2 linked regions of the Danio rerio genome follow. The protein of the gene in region 1 interacts with the protein of each later gene in a biochemical or structural test. Links are inferred from orthologs where the notes say so. Each region holds a gene or a part of one and is shown on either strand. Other genes may lie near its edges.

What was found. The genes of interacting proteins can lie anywhere in the genome.
Region 2: of the proteins of prmt1 (region 1) and ubap2l, one has a biochemical effect on the other in vitro, tested with the Homo sapiens proteins (2 studies listed by BioGRID, with this or other methods). The link is inferred for Danio rerio from reciprocal best matches to the Homo sapiens genes PRMT1 and UBAP2L.

The regions. Positions count from the first base shown.
Region 1 is NC_133178.1:31,170,272-31,177,281, forward strand, and holds the start of prmt1 (protein arginine N-methyltransferase 1), read right to left. Parts: upstream 4,513-7,010; 5' UTR 4,422-4,512; coding exon 4,395-4,421; intron 3,416-4,394; coding exon 3,320-3,415; intron 3,229-3,319; coding exon 3,073-3,228; intron 2,941-3,072; coding exon 2,877-2,940; intron 2,504-2,876; coding exon 2,361-2,503; intron 2,255-2,360; coding exon 2,167-2,254; intron 2,075-2,166; coding exon 1,959-2,074; intron 1,873-1,958; coding exon 1,722-1,872; intron 1,617-1,721; coding exon 1,495-1,616; intron 1-1,494. UniProt on the Homo sapiens protein: Arginine methyltransferase that methylates (mono and asymmetric dimethylation) the guanidino nitrogens of arginyl residues present in proteins such as ESR1, histone H2, H3 and H4, FMR1, ILF3, HNRNPA1, HNRNPD, NFATC2IP, SUPT5H, TAF15, EWS, HABP4, SERBP1, RBM15, FOXO1, CHTOP, MAP3K5/ASK1, MICU1 and NPRL2.
Region 2 is NC_133194.1:8,827,553-8,833,281, reverse strand, and holds part of ubap2l (ubiquitin-associated protein 2-like), read right to left. Parts: intron 5,686-5,729; coding exon 5,626-5,685; intron 5,537-5,625; coding exon 5,484-5,536; intron 5,391-5,483; coding exon 5,305-5,390; intron 3,688-5,304; coding exon 3,510-3,687; intron 3,168-3,509; coding exon 2,966-3,167; intron 1,591-2,965; coding exon 1,268-1,590; intron 1-1,267. UniProt on the Homo sapiens protein: Recruits the ubiquitination machinery to RNA polymerase II for polyubiquitination, removal and degradation, when the transcription-coupled nucleotide excision repair (TC-NER) machinery fails to resolve DNA damage.

The sequences.
Region 1 (7,010 bases):
TTTAATGCATGCTTTTTTTTTAGTACTATTATATTATTATTTTTAGACATGACATATTTTAAGACATTTTAAAAGCAAATGCTGATAATTTGGAAAATAAATAATAATTTAAAAAAATCCTCTCTCTGAAAGCATTAATGACTTGTATAGCAGAAAATTTTACTTCAGCAACAAAACATTTTTGGGGGAGGAACTATTAAAAATGTTAGGGCTGCACTGAATCTGGAGTGCAGGCAGGCAGAGTGTACATGATCCTGCAAAAAAAATTGGCTAGTCAAGAGATGCATGTCTAAATATATTAACTTTTCTGCAAATAACATTTGGCCGATATTAAAGTTATTATTATATTAGGGGTGTCAAAAAACTATTGGATACTGATGTCATTTATCTCCTATGCACGATGTCGCAGTAGAATACTATGGCGAAGTAGGAGAGGGCAAGTAAATAAAACGCTCCTACTACTGAAAAGGTAGATAATTTTGCAGTTCAACTGCTTGTGAGTTTACTGGAAAGGCTTTCATTGAGACTGACTGAAGAAGACACAGCACATGAGCCGCTATTATACTACTAAGGAGAAATGCTGTAAAAAGCCATCTCTGCCTCTCTCTCTCCCTCCCTCCCTCCCTCCCTCCCTCACTTTTGTATATTTGACCCGCTGGCCTGTTCATGAGTTAACTTTTCCCCTTCTCTTGGCTGGTAAAGCGATACTTGTGGATCCAGACACGAACCTCCCTGTGGTGCGAGTTTTCTCCACTGTGGATTACCTTTGATAACTGCATATTATGCACATATAGACTGTAACCATGGCTGTTCTTCCCGTGTCACTCATCAGTGAACAGCACTTTTATGTCTAAAGCCAATCACAGCTGTTTCTGTCAAACGGGTGAAGACAATAACCAGTCATAGAGGCAAGACCTCACTCAACAACGCTCAAAGCAAGTGGGATAATATTTCCATAAGTTTATTGCCTAAAAATGCTCATGTTGTCTTCTGTGTATGTATTGGGAGTTTTGTTTGATACCTTGAAAAAGAGTGTTTTCTTTGAGCAGGTCAAATTAAAGGTACAGTTCATATATCTTACTTCTTGTATTAAAGGACAAAATTGTGTTACAAATAATATATAAATATTAATATATTTTCAGATTTTAATAAAAAAAAAAATAGTGTTGGGAGAAAAAAAAAAAAACTCATTTTGCACTGAGATATCGAATTAAACTGAATCGATGGCATGATAATCGTTACCGAACCGTGAGACCAGTGTAGGTTAACACCCCTAATTAATATTAAAGAAAGTGAAAACGTTTAGAAGTGATTAAGTTGTAATTTTACAATATAATTTCCAAATGAAGAGCTTTTAGACTTCATAAATTAGAAACTGGAAAAATGTTCAATTTAATACAGAAATCAACCCATTAAAATGGTAACAAGATATATATGACCATCCCTACACTTTCACTAAAGGTGCTAAAAGTAAGACGTGCACACAAGGCTCACATTATTCTTGACGTTGGGCTTCATGCTGATAGTGCCAAAGATCTCCTCTCCAGTCTTTACTGTCAGATAGTCATCAAGGTAGAACACAGTCTGCTTCCAGTGAGTGTAAGGAGACTCTGGGCCTGCAAGCAAAACTCACTTTAAACAGGGTTCAACCATCCTTCAATACAATAAACTCGTGGTGAATACAAAGTGATTTTGTGGTGAACACCACACACAGCACTTACTGGTAGAGAAGCCTGTCCTCTTGTGGCAGCGAGTGAACTCTATGTTGAAGTAGGTTACCAGAGCATGAATGTAGTCGTTTCTTTTCACCTGCAGGCAGAAAGGTGACGTGAAGGACAGGTCCTCAATCTTCACGGTGTAGATGTCCACCTCCTAAGGAATCAAGAAAACGTATTGAATATTAAATGAGGAAAGCAGGGATTATGTGAACATTGGAAAATAAAAGGTTGCAAACAAACCTTAATTAAGCAAGCAGTGCTAACAAGCTGTTTGGGATCAACAACATCCACCAGCGGCTCTGTAATGGCCACTTCCTTAATACAGGACATGTCAAATCCATACACGTTCTCCCACCCTAAAAAAGTGCAAATATGAAACAATTAAATGAGTTACTGCTTTAAAGAAAGCTGAACAGACTCAAGAGTGCATTAAGAGATTGATGCGTACAGTGGATTTTGTAATCCTTGTACTGCCGATCCTCGATAGCAGTGACATAGAGGGTGGCTCTGTCAGGAAAAATCAGGCCATCAGGTTTCTGAAAGCCAACAATGGAAAACGTGAACAGTGATTAAATCAAGAAAGCACATACGATTTTATACTGAACAGTTTCAACATGGTAAAAGACATTAGCATACACCCACCAGCCATTTGTCCCTGGCATAAATGACGGTGTTAAGCATGGATTCATAGAAGAGACAGTAGCCCATCCACTCAGAGATGATTATGTCTACATTTTCCACAGGAAGCTCGACCTCCTCCACTTTGCCCTTAATTATAGTGACGACTGGACAGGAAAAAGTACATGGTTAAAAATTTTAGGTACATAAAGAATAAAATGGGTATAGGCCAAAACTGTTAATCCAAAACTGAAAATGGTCATTGTTTAACCTCCCCTCACTCATTCTAAACCTGTGATTTTCTTCTGTTGAACACAAAAGATGATATTTTGAAGAAAGATGCAAACCTGTCACTACGGTTACCAGTTTACAGCTTTCTTCAAAATATCTTCTTTGGTGTTCAACAGGAAAAAAAGAAACTGATAGGTTTAGAACCACTTGAGAGGGAGTAAAACTTCATTTTTGGGTGAACTATCCCTTGAAACATGCTGAGAAAATAAGTTAACAATGAAGATGCCAAAAGCTCTGAGAAGGCCTTACTATGATCCAGCTTGTTGGCCTTCACAATCTTCACAGCATAGTCTGATATACTGCTGCACTCAATCTAAGGAATAAATGACCAACAAATTAATAAATTAATCTGACAATACACAGCATGATCAAATAATACCACATACAAATAAATGGCTTAAATGTAACAAAAATGCTTTAAATAAATCATGGGACTACTTCTCACCCCAATAACTTTCTTGGCTCCAGCTTTGGCTGCAAACATACAGAGGATGCCAGTACCACTTCCCACATCCAGCACAACTTTATCTTTGAAGAGATGCTTGTTGTGAAACATGGAGTTTCTGTACGTCAAAGTACGAACTTCATCTTTTAGCATCTCCTGTGAAGATTCAATGGGTTTACATTAATTATAAATAAATTAAATTGACTTCACCACTAATGCTGAGATTAATGAACTAACAAGAAAGTACCTCATGAATGCCAAAGTGTGCATAGGAATCAAAGTAATAGTCTTTGGACGTCATGTCTTCAGCTGCAGGTTTCGCTGAGCTCTCTCCCTGGGACACCTCAATTTCAATAGATAAGAAAAATGTAAATAAGCAAGTAAAGTCATGAGCTGGGCTTTTCTCAAACATTTGCAGTATCTTCAGTATATTAAAACAAACAAGCAAGCAATAAGGTACTAGTCAAGAGATGACCCAAAACATGTTTAAACCAAACATGCCAAGTGTAAATAACCCTGAGTAAACAGTGTTTTTACACAGAACTACATAAAGTCGGTGGCTTCCTCTGAATTTAGTTCCAACTTTTGGCAAATATCACAGCAGGCAATGAACCATTTTACACATTTTTTTTTAAAATGGATAGTTAAGCAAAAAAAGTCATATTTTATCTTCACACGCCTAACGTTAACCTTTGAAGAGTCCTCTTAAGCTTAAATTTTTCTACTTTTTAATTATACACATTTGAGGAAAAGTGGTCTAAAAGAAAACTTAGTCACGACGCAAGTACTAGATCATAGTAAACAATACAGGATGTTTTATTAAAAAACCCAATCACTGTGATTAGCAGAGAGGAAAAAAAAGCGTAACGTTAGCTCCTATCCATCAGTCCCATGCGGTCTCTGCCCAACAATAAGTCATTGAAGTCCTCCGCCAGCGTGCTCACGTGGAAACTGAACAGCGAGCTAACGGTAGCTAACATGACAGAAATATTCATACATTTAATCTCAAAATTCATCTGTGGTTACACTCAACAACTAAAAACTCGAAGCTAGCTCAAATTTAGCACATTAGCACTAGCATACACGTGATGCGAAATGAATGAATTATCTGCGGCAGGCTAAAATGGATGCTCAAGATGCGTGTGCGCACATTTCTAGCCACCTGATAACTACATACGCAGCAATCAAATCTGTTCACAGACCAAAGATTCGGAACCGGCGTGTGACGTAAATAAAATCGCCGTGTCGATTCTGATACGGTTACGAGATATTTAGCATCAGAAGCGTTTTTGGCGAACCGGCCTTGAGTAGCTTCAGCTTACCTCCATTCTGTCTGCCGTCTCCGCCATTTCGATAAACTGGACACAGCCGCGACTGCAGCAAAGCTCATGTAAAACACACTTGTTTTGCTCCCGCCTCTTTGCTGTGACTGTATGATTTGATTGGGTGACAATCACGTGGTTTTACAATAACCACACCCACTTTCCTGCGGCTCTTCGTCATAGGCTTTTCTACTATGCGTTTTTCCGCTCTTTTGATGCGTGACTGTCATTGGTCCAAACTGTAACATGATTATTATTTATTTATTTTATCTCAAATATTATTTTACAGAATTTTACTGTGAATCCAACATTTATTATTTTGGGTTGTAGATACAAATTTAATGTCTGCTTCACAATAAACCCTATTCTATTTTTATGTAAATTTTATATTCATTTATTCGTTTTCCTTCTGCTTAGTCCCTTTATTAATCCGGGGTCGCCACAACGGAATGAACCGCCAACTTATCCAGCAAGTTTTTACGCAGCAAATGCCCTTCCAGCTGCAACCCATCTCTGGGAAACATCCACACATGCATTCACACACGCACTCACACACTATGGACAATTTAGCCTACCCAATTCACCTGCACCGCATGTCTTTAGACTCTGGGGGAAACCGGAGCACCCGGAGGAAACCCACGCAAACGCAGGGAGAACATGCAAACTCCACACAGAAACGCCAACTGAGCCAAGGCTCGAACCAGCGACCCAGCAACCTTCTTGCTGTGAGGCGACAGCACTACCTACTGCGCCACTGCTTCGCCCTGCCTATATTTTATATTTATAAATAAAATTTTCAAATATAAAATCCACTTGTGTATTTTATACAAGAGATCAAAATTTACTTACAATTCCAGATTCACTTAACAAGAATGCACTCAAAACGTAAACAATTTGCACAACATGTGTAATCTATTAAATATCCCAATCTTTGTTATCTTTTTTATTTTGCCCTTTTTATTTTCAATTTCATTATCTGTTGCATCTATTCTCAGATTAGATAACCTATTGATATCATATTTCTTTGTTTTGATTTCTGTTGTTTTTTGTTCTTGTGTTGTTTCTTTATTGGTACCATTGTAAATAATATAATTATTATTGTAAATGTTATGTACCAAATGTATCTATATGTTGTACAATAAATATGAAAAAATATTTTATTTTGCACAAGTTTCTGTATTCCATTTTATTTCTGTTTATGGAACACAGTGGCTTAGTGGTTAGCACTGTCGTCTCACAGTAAGAAGGTCGCTGGTTTGAGCCCCAGCTGGGTCAGTTGGCATTTCTGTGTGAAGCTTGCATGTTCTCCCTGTGTTGGCGTTGGTTTCCTCCTGGTGTTCCGGTTTCCCCCATAGACCAAAGCCATGTGTTATAGGTGGATTGAATAAATTAAATTGGTGTAGTGTATGAGTGTGAATGAGTGTGTATGGATGTTTCCTGGTACTAGGTTGCAGCTGGAAGGGCATCCGCTGTATAAAACATATGTTGGATAAGTTGGCGGTTCATTCTGCTGTGGCGTCCCCTGATGAATAAAGGGACTAAGATGAAGGAGAATGAATGAATTATGGTTTCATTGTTTTCATGTAAATTTTATTAGTTGGACTTTTGTCAAGCTAATAGAAAAGCTTACAAAATCTTTTTAGGAAACCATCCTTTAGTCATGTGTTTTGTTCACAAAATAAACTATATGGTTATAATTATACAAAGTAAGCAAAGTTTGCAAAGTAAGCACATTTCTAAAAAAAAGAAGGCATTGATAAAATAGGAGACAATAATGATTATTTACAAAACAACATCTGGAGAAAATGGATGTTTGTACATTATCATACTATGGGATTTAGCTCAGATTAAGACCAATGTCCTCCTTGTTACATCTTCTATGAGAAAAAAAAGTTAGTTTGGTAATTTTTTCATTTTTCATACTTAACAGGAAATAATATTGTTTGGACAACATTCTTGAGAATATGATCTTGTATTTATGTATCATGGCAAACAATTTTTAAAGAACACCAGTGTGAGCAAATGGTGACACTTTTTCTTTGATGAATAGTTCCTATAAATCAAAGTTTACATTATATAACATTGTTCAGTTCCTGGTGAATTGTAACAGAGACCATACAAAAAGAAAATATATTTATTTACCATGTACAAGATGGTTATGCATCATCAAATATAGCTTACTTTGTTGAAAAAAACAAACATATTTGCAACGAATGCTGTAAACAAATCAAATGTGTAATTTTATTAATAATATATTCAACATATTTTATCTTTTTAATTTATTTATTTATACTGCAGTGGGTACCTAACTGAATTGGCCACCATTGTCCACAATAAACATATTTGATATTGCCTTAAATGCTAAATTTAATTAAAGAGATTTAGAAAATGCCTCAAAAACTGTAAGATTTAATTAGTTTAGATCATTGGACAAGTGAGTGCTGCATACTGTTGACAATACTGAGCTAAAGCTTTACTTCACATAATTAAATTAGAAATCATATTGCAATCTCTGTCAGACAAATCGCAATTAGATATTTTCCCAAACAGTTCTGTTAAGCAGAAAAAGTAATTTCTCTCCTTTCACACATTAAATTGCACACTATTGCAAATAAA
Region 2 (5,729 bases), on another chromosome or scaffold:
ATGCTTTATACAAAAATACTTGTGTATAAATGTTTATTACTAACTTTCTATGAACATGATTTGATTATAACTGGAGATCAATGATGGTGTGAAATAGCCTACTGTAACATCCGCAACTATATAAAATAAATGCAACATATGAACACATACAGACCCTTACAGATATTACCAATTACAGAAAAACTACCTCAGCATACATTTAGTCCTTATTTGGCTTCAAAAACACGCAACATAACGTCAGTGTCAGTGCAGACCTCTCATCTCTGTTATAAAGTAACTCCGCCATTGAGTTCATAATAGTGCAAAAGGTGATAATAATAGTTAAACATGGCAGTTTGTTCATCTTTTAGGTTGCAGAAAAAATCATTTGCTCCTTTGTTTTTTTCCAAATTCTGTTTTTCCGCACTTCACTCGTTTCTGAAAGGGTTGAAAGTCAGAAGCACTTCAACAAAAATCACACGCACGTTATTATCATCAGCCCAAAAAGCTTGTTATTTCAAATACAGAAATGCACAGCAGCTCACGAGCACACACTTTAAGACGGCCCCGTAAACAACAACAACAACAGGACACAGCAGATTTTGTTCTTCTCGGCTTTGTGGCTGTTCATCAAGACGATGACAAGGTTTGTCTGAGCTCGGGTCGACCATGGCTCATTATTATAAGCATACACTATTACAGTGTAATGTCTTAGCTGTGCATTTAAAAATGGCGCTTCCTTCGTTTTCATTCTGCTGGCTTGTGTACGCGCTAGTGACGCATCTCCGTAAACCAATAGCATTCAGCTGCGGGTCTAGCTCCGCTTTTTGGTAACCTTTTGTCGTGCTAGGTACCCTTTCAAAATGACACCCAAAAGGTGGCACAGTTTGCTTTACTGTACCTTTTTGACAGTGGTAACGGCTATAAAAGTGTACCGTAACACTAAGTGAAAAGTGGATTAAGTGAAATAAGTGCAAACGGGCCATCAATGGTCTAAAAAAAAATTTTTTAAATAAAAATTAAAAAAAAAAAAGTTTAAATTTTCACGATGGATTTAAAAAATGCAAATCCTGACATACCTCTCACTCAGTTGCACTATGTATTTGATCATTTGTAGCATAAGATAATCATTTGAAGAATTTTTTTAATACAAATTACCAATAACCAAAGTGCAAGCCATAATTTGAAATGTAGTCGCATCCAGAAAAAGGTGAATCTGGTAAAATGGATTAATTCCACTAAACCCAAAAACACAGCTAAAAGCACAATATACTTTGAGAAAGGTGACCTTGGTCGTGATGGAAGCCCTCTTCTTCTGCTGTTTGAGTTTGTGCTGCTGCAGGGGGAGTGGGCTGGACGCCTGCGGGTCAGCTGGGCTGGAAGAGTTCTGCTGTCCTGGAGCAGCTCCCATGGGTTTGGAGACTGGGGTGGTGATGGCCTGGGCCAGTGAAGATGCCTGGGTGGACTGAGGGGGTAGAGCTGAGGTGCTAGAAGGGCCTGTGGTTTTGTCCTGCAAGAAGGCATCCATCATAGAGGTGGTGGTGGAGGCTGGCTGATAGGGCTGCCGTTTGGTGAATGGACTGTGCACAGGCTCTGTTTGAGGTTTCATATCTGCAGAAACAAGATTTACACAATACATTTACTCATTTAGTACTTCAAAATCATCAGAGAACAGCAGTATATAAAAATTTCTATGACTAGGAAGAGAAAGTGTCCTACGAGTGGTTTGGCAAGCCCACTCACCTATGGAGCATACCAAGAATTACACAATGTTTTCAAAAACAAGGAAGAGTGTTGATAAAGGGTGCACTCACACTATGCTATCCAAACCATGCCCAAGTCCGTTTCCTGGATTGTTTGAGAAGTGTGAGTGCTCTAAATCGGGCTCAGGCATGGTTCACCTGACCCGGTTGGAAAAGGTGTGCAAGAGAACAGTTCACTTGGGCTAGTGCAAATACAAAGCGTGCCTGAGCCCGAAACTGAAGACGAGACGTGACTTTTAAGGGTTTTAAGGTTTCATATGGATTAATTAATCATTCTTACTGTTCAATGAAAGCAAACTGTCGTAGATTAATGAAGACGCAAACCCCTCGCTGCACCTTTAGCAAACCTCGTAATTCCTGCAGCACAGGGACTTTATGGTCGTTTAGAAGCTTCAAAAGTTGCTGATCTGTTCGGCGAGACATTTGACTGCGCGTCACTGCATCCCAAACGACTAAAACGATATAAATAAAGAAATCTTCACTGTGCTGAGCGAGAGCGTTGCTTACTGAACAGGGCATCAACGATGATGTAAGCGTGCTCAGACCCGAATGTAATGCGGGCCGTTGGGGGAGATGGGACAAGCGCACTTCGGCAAAGTTTAAGGCAACTGTAAAAAAGTGAGAGTATGCCCTAAATTTCTGGTGCATATGGAAAGGTGAGAGCATGTCCTGCCAGTGGTTTGACTAAAGATGTAATTTCATACAGTCGATCAAAAATAGGCCACAGTAAATACAAGTGCAAACATTAAACTGGTTTGGGTTTGTGTAAATGCTCGTGGTAAAAAAAAATTAATTAAAATTTTTTTTTTCACAAAATGCCACTGACTAAGGCCCCAAACACACAGGGTGTCAGCTTCATCGCTTTCCATTCACTTTGAATGGGTAACATCAGGCAATGCCGAACTGTATTGTGGATCCGTCGGCGCCACTTCAGAGGCGTTGCTCGCTGCAAAAGTTGGTACTTGCTCAACTTTAAGCGTCGACGGAAGCGTCAGCCAATCATATCGCTGTATGCAAATACACCAGCTCAGACAGTGGCCCATTGCTGGCTAATTTCATTGGCTGACGCTTCTATGACGATCGCGTCAGCCCCGACTTCAGACACGCCCTCGGTCATGCATTGACACTGAAGCCCCATGTGAATGGGGCGTAAGACCATGTCTAATACTAATGACCCAATACTAGACAATGTTGAGAAACTGCAGCAAAAGGATGACTCTTACCATATTGCCCCAGTGCAGATGGGCTGGTATCCCAGGTAGAAGGACCAGCATTGGGTGGTCCACTTTGTGAGTGCTGGGCCGCCAGCTGGGCCAAAGCCTGGGCAGTCTTAAACTGCTCCAGAAATTGAGAACCAGTCGTCGAACCTCCAGTGGTTGTTTTTGGATCACCAACATCCCCAAAACCCTTACCGAGCATGCTCACCTGAGGAAAAAGGCAAATGACAATAGTAAAATTATGCTGCAACTGTATAAGCATAAAGTGTGTGGGATACCATTTATTATTAAAATCAATCTGAAGTTCTAAATGAAAAAGCATATCAGCATATACAGCATATCCTAGTGAAGAAACTCCAAAAAGACTCAACTAAAATGACACTTAAAATGATACAAATCTTGACAAACTCAACAAACTGTTACACACCTCCAAATAAGCTTAATTAAATATTTTACATCTAGATGTAAAAATAAAATTCCAAAATGCTGACAATTTAAACTATGCATAAATAAGAAAATAAATAAAACACACAAGCACAAGCTCTCTCACCATGTTGTGCTGGCTGTAAGGAGCACTGGAGGAGGACTGAGACAGTGATGATGTCTGCTTTGAGTTGCTGAACACTAGAGACTGAGACAGAGATTGTGGCTGTGGGCCTTCAAGTGAAGCAGGCTCTGCTTCAGAGGAAGAGGGAGGCGTCTTCCCCAGCAAGACAGCCAGATCAATCCTGGAAACCAAACATGCTTATGTAAGAAAGGTGAGTGCATAGGATAATAAAATATTAAATTAGCAAGGCATTTAAAATCATAATGGAAAATTGATTATTATATAATATGGATGGATGCAATGATTATAGATTTTATTTGTATGATTATAGTGATAGTATATAGATATAGTATACTGAAAAAGAATCAGTTTCACAGTTATCATGATTATTTATTTATTAAATTCAAAACACTACTAGTTTAGAAAAATCACATGAAAACTGGTTTTAAAGTGTTAATTATTGCTAATCTGTAAATAATTAATACAGCAAAAAATAGCCCATTTCTCTTTTTTGACTTAAATGACAGAACAATAATTAAATAACAAATAAATAAGTAACATTTGTATAATGTGAATCTAAGCTACATCTTAGCATTTATAAAAGACAAGAAATATAGGCAAAGGAACCTCTTTCTGAATGGCACTCTTGATCAACTATATTACCGTACGTTCACACCGAAAGCGGCGAGAGCGTCCAAGGTCGCTCTGGCCGCCCTGGCGACAACGCTGTCTGCCTTCAGCTCCGGTGGCGAGAGCGTCAAAACTCGCTACATTAATCTCGTACTTAAAGGAGCCGTTGCAGCATATCAGTTACATTCCTGCATAAGACATGTTTTTAGCTTGAAAATGTTGCGCACTTCTTATCAAATTCATACAACAATGGAAGATCAAGTTGCATGTGGTGTGGCTTTGCTCTATTTATCCAATATGTGTCCATATGTCTGAAATATCCTGTAGCAGCAGTACTGTTTTGTACCGTCACATCGCGTGAGATTCCCGCTTTTTAAAGATAAATTTATATAACATTAATAAACATCAGTAACTCGCCAGTAACTTATTTAATGCATGTTCCTGTAAGAAAACATTGTAAATAATGGGAAATCCGGCGACCGCAATAATCAAACCCTTGGGAACAACTGTGGTCGGAACCAAAGTTCACAGGTCTGTGTTCCCTGAACTGCTATCAAGCGGTGGACGTCTTCATTCTGATTGCTTGCCGCCGAACCGCGTCATAGCTCATTACCATAAAGTTGACTTAATTTCAACTCTCCTCGACGCTCACGCCGGCGAAGACGCGCCGCGCTGCTCCTCGCCGCTTATCGACGCCTATCGCCGCCGGCTCTCATTGAAAATGAATGACTTCCGGATACTTTGACGCTCTCGCCGCTTTCGGTGTGAACGTACGGTTACAAAATTGTTTGGCTTTTTTTTGGTTTAGTTTTTTCACTCCGGAGAATAAATGTATATATTCCAATTAAAAAAAATGGAGCTGATCGATCAGTTCTCGTCAAGTGACTCGTGGTGCGCTCATGCCATTTTTTCAACTAGGTGCACCTGGAAAGCCAGAGTAACGCTTGCGCACACATCACTGCCAAAATGCGTGCACCTCCATTGGAAATAACAAACTTGTGTGCGCAAAAGACATGATATGTGAACGGCACTTAGTTAGCCTCACCCATAGAAGACCTTTGTAAGCATTAACCAATTTTTCATTGGTAGTGCTGGAGAATGAATGACAGGTCGAAGTGATTTCAGTTAAAGGAGCCAACAATATTCTCTTAAAAATCCATTGGCATACCTCTGTCCAGCAGTAATGGTGACATTCTCCTGTGGAATGGGCATGGATGCCACACTGGAGGCAGTGAATATCTTGGTCTCTGACAACTAGACAGGAGAGCAAAAAAAAAAAAAAAAAAAAATTGATATCCTTGTTCTTAAAAAGGAAAGCAGGTTTTTGGTCTCGGTTCAAATACTCACATCCTCATTCCAGTCCTCCGTGCCCCACTCTTCCGTGGCAGTTCTCCAAGCACCTGTTACACAGACACTCAGCTTACTTACAACGACAACAAGTGAACAACAGCTCGCTCTGATTATTTTATGCAGGAGATTTAAGACTCACCAGGGGCGGAGTCAAACTTCAGAGGATAGTTTGTTCCCTCTCCACCTGTAAACTCAAGCCCTGTGGAAACGGATAAGTGTCAGAACAGCAGCTTCTACATATTT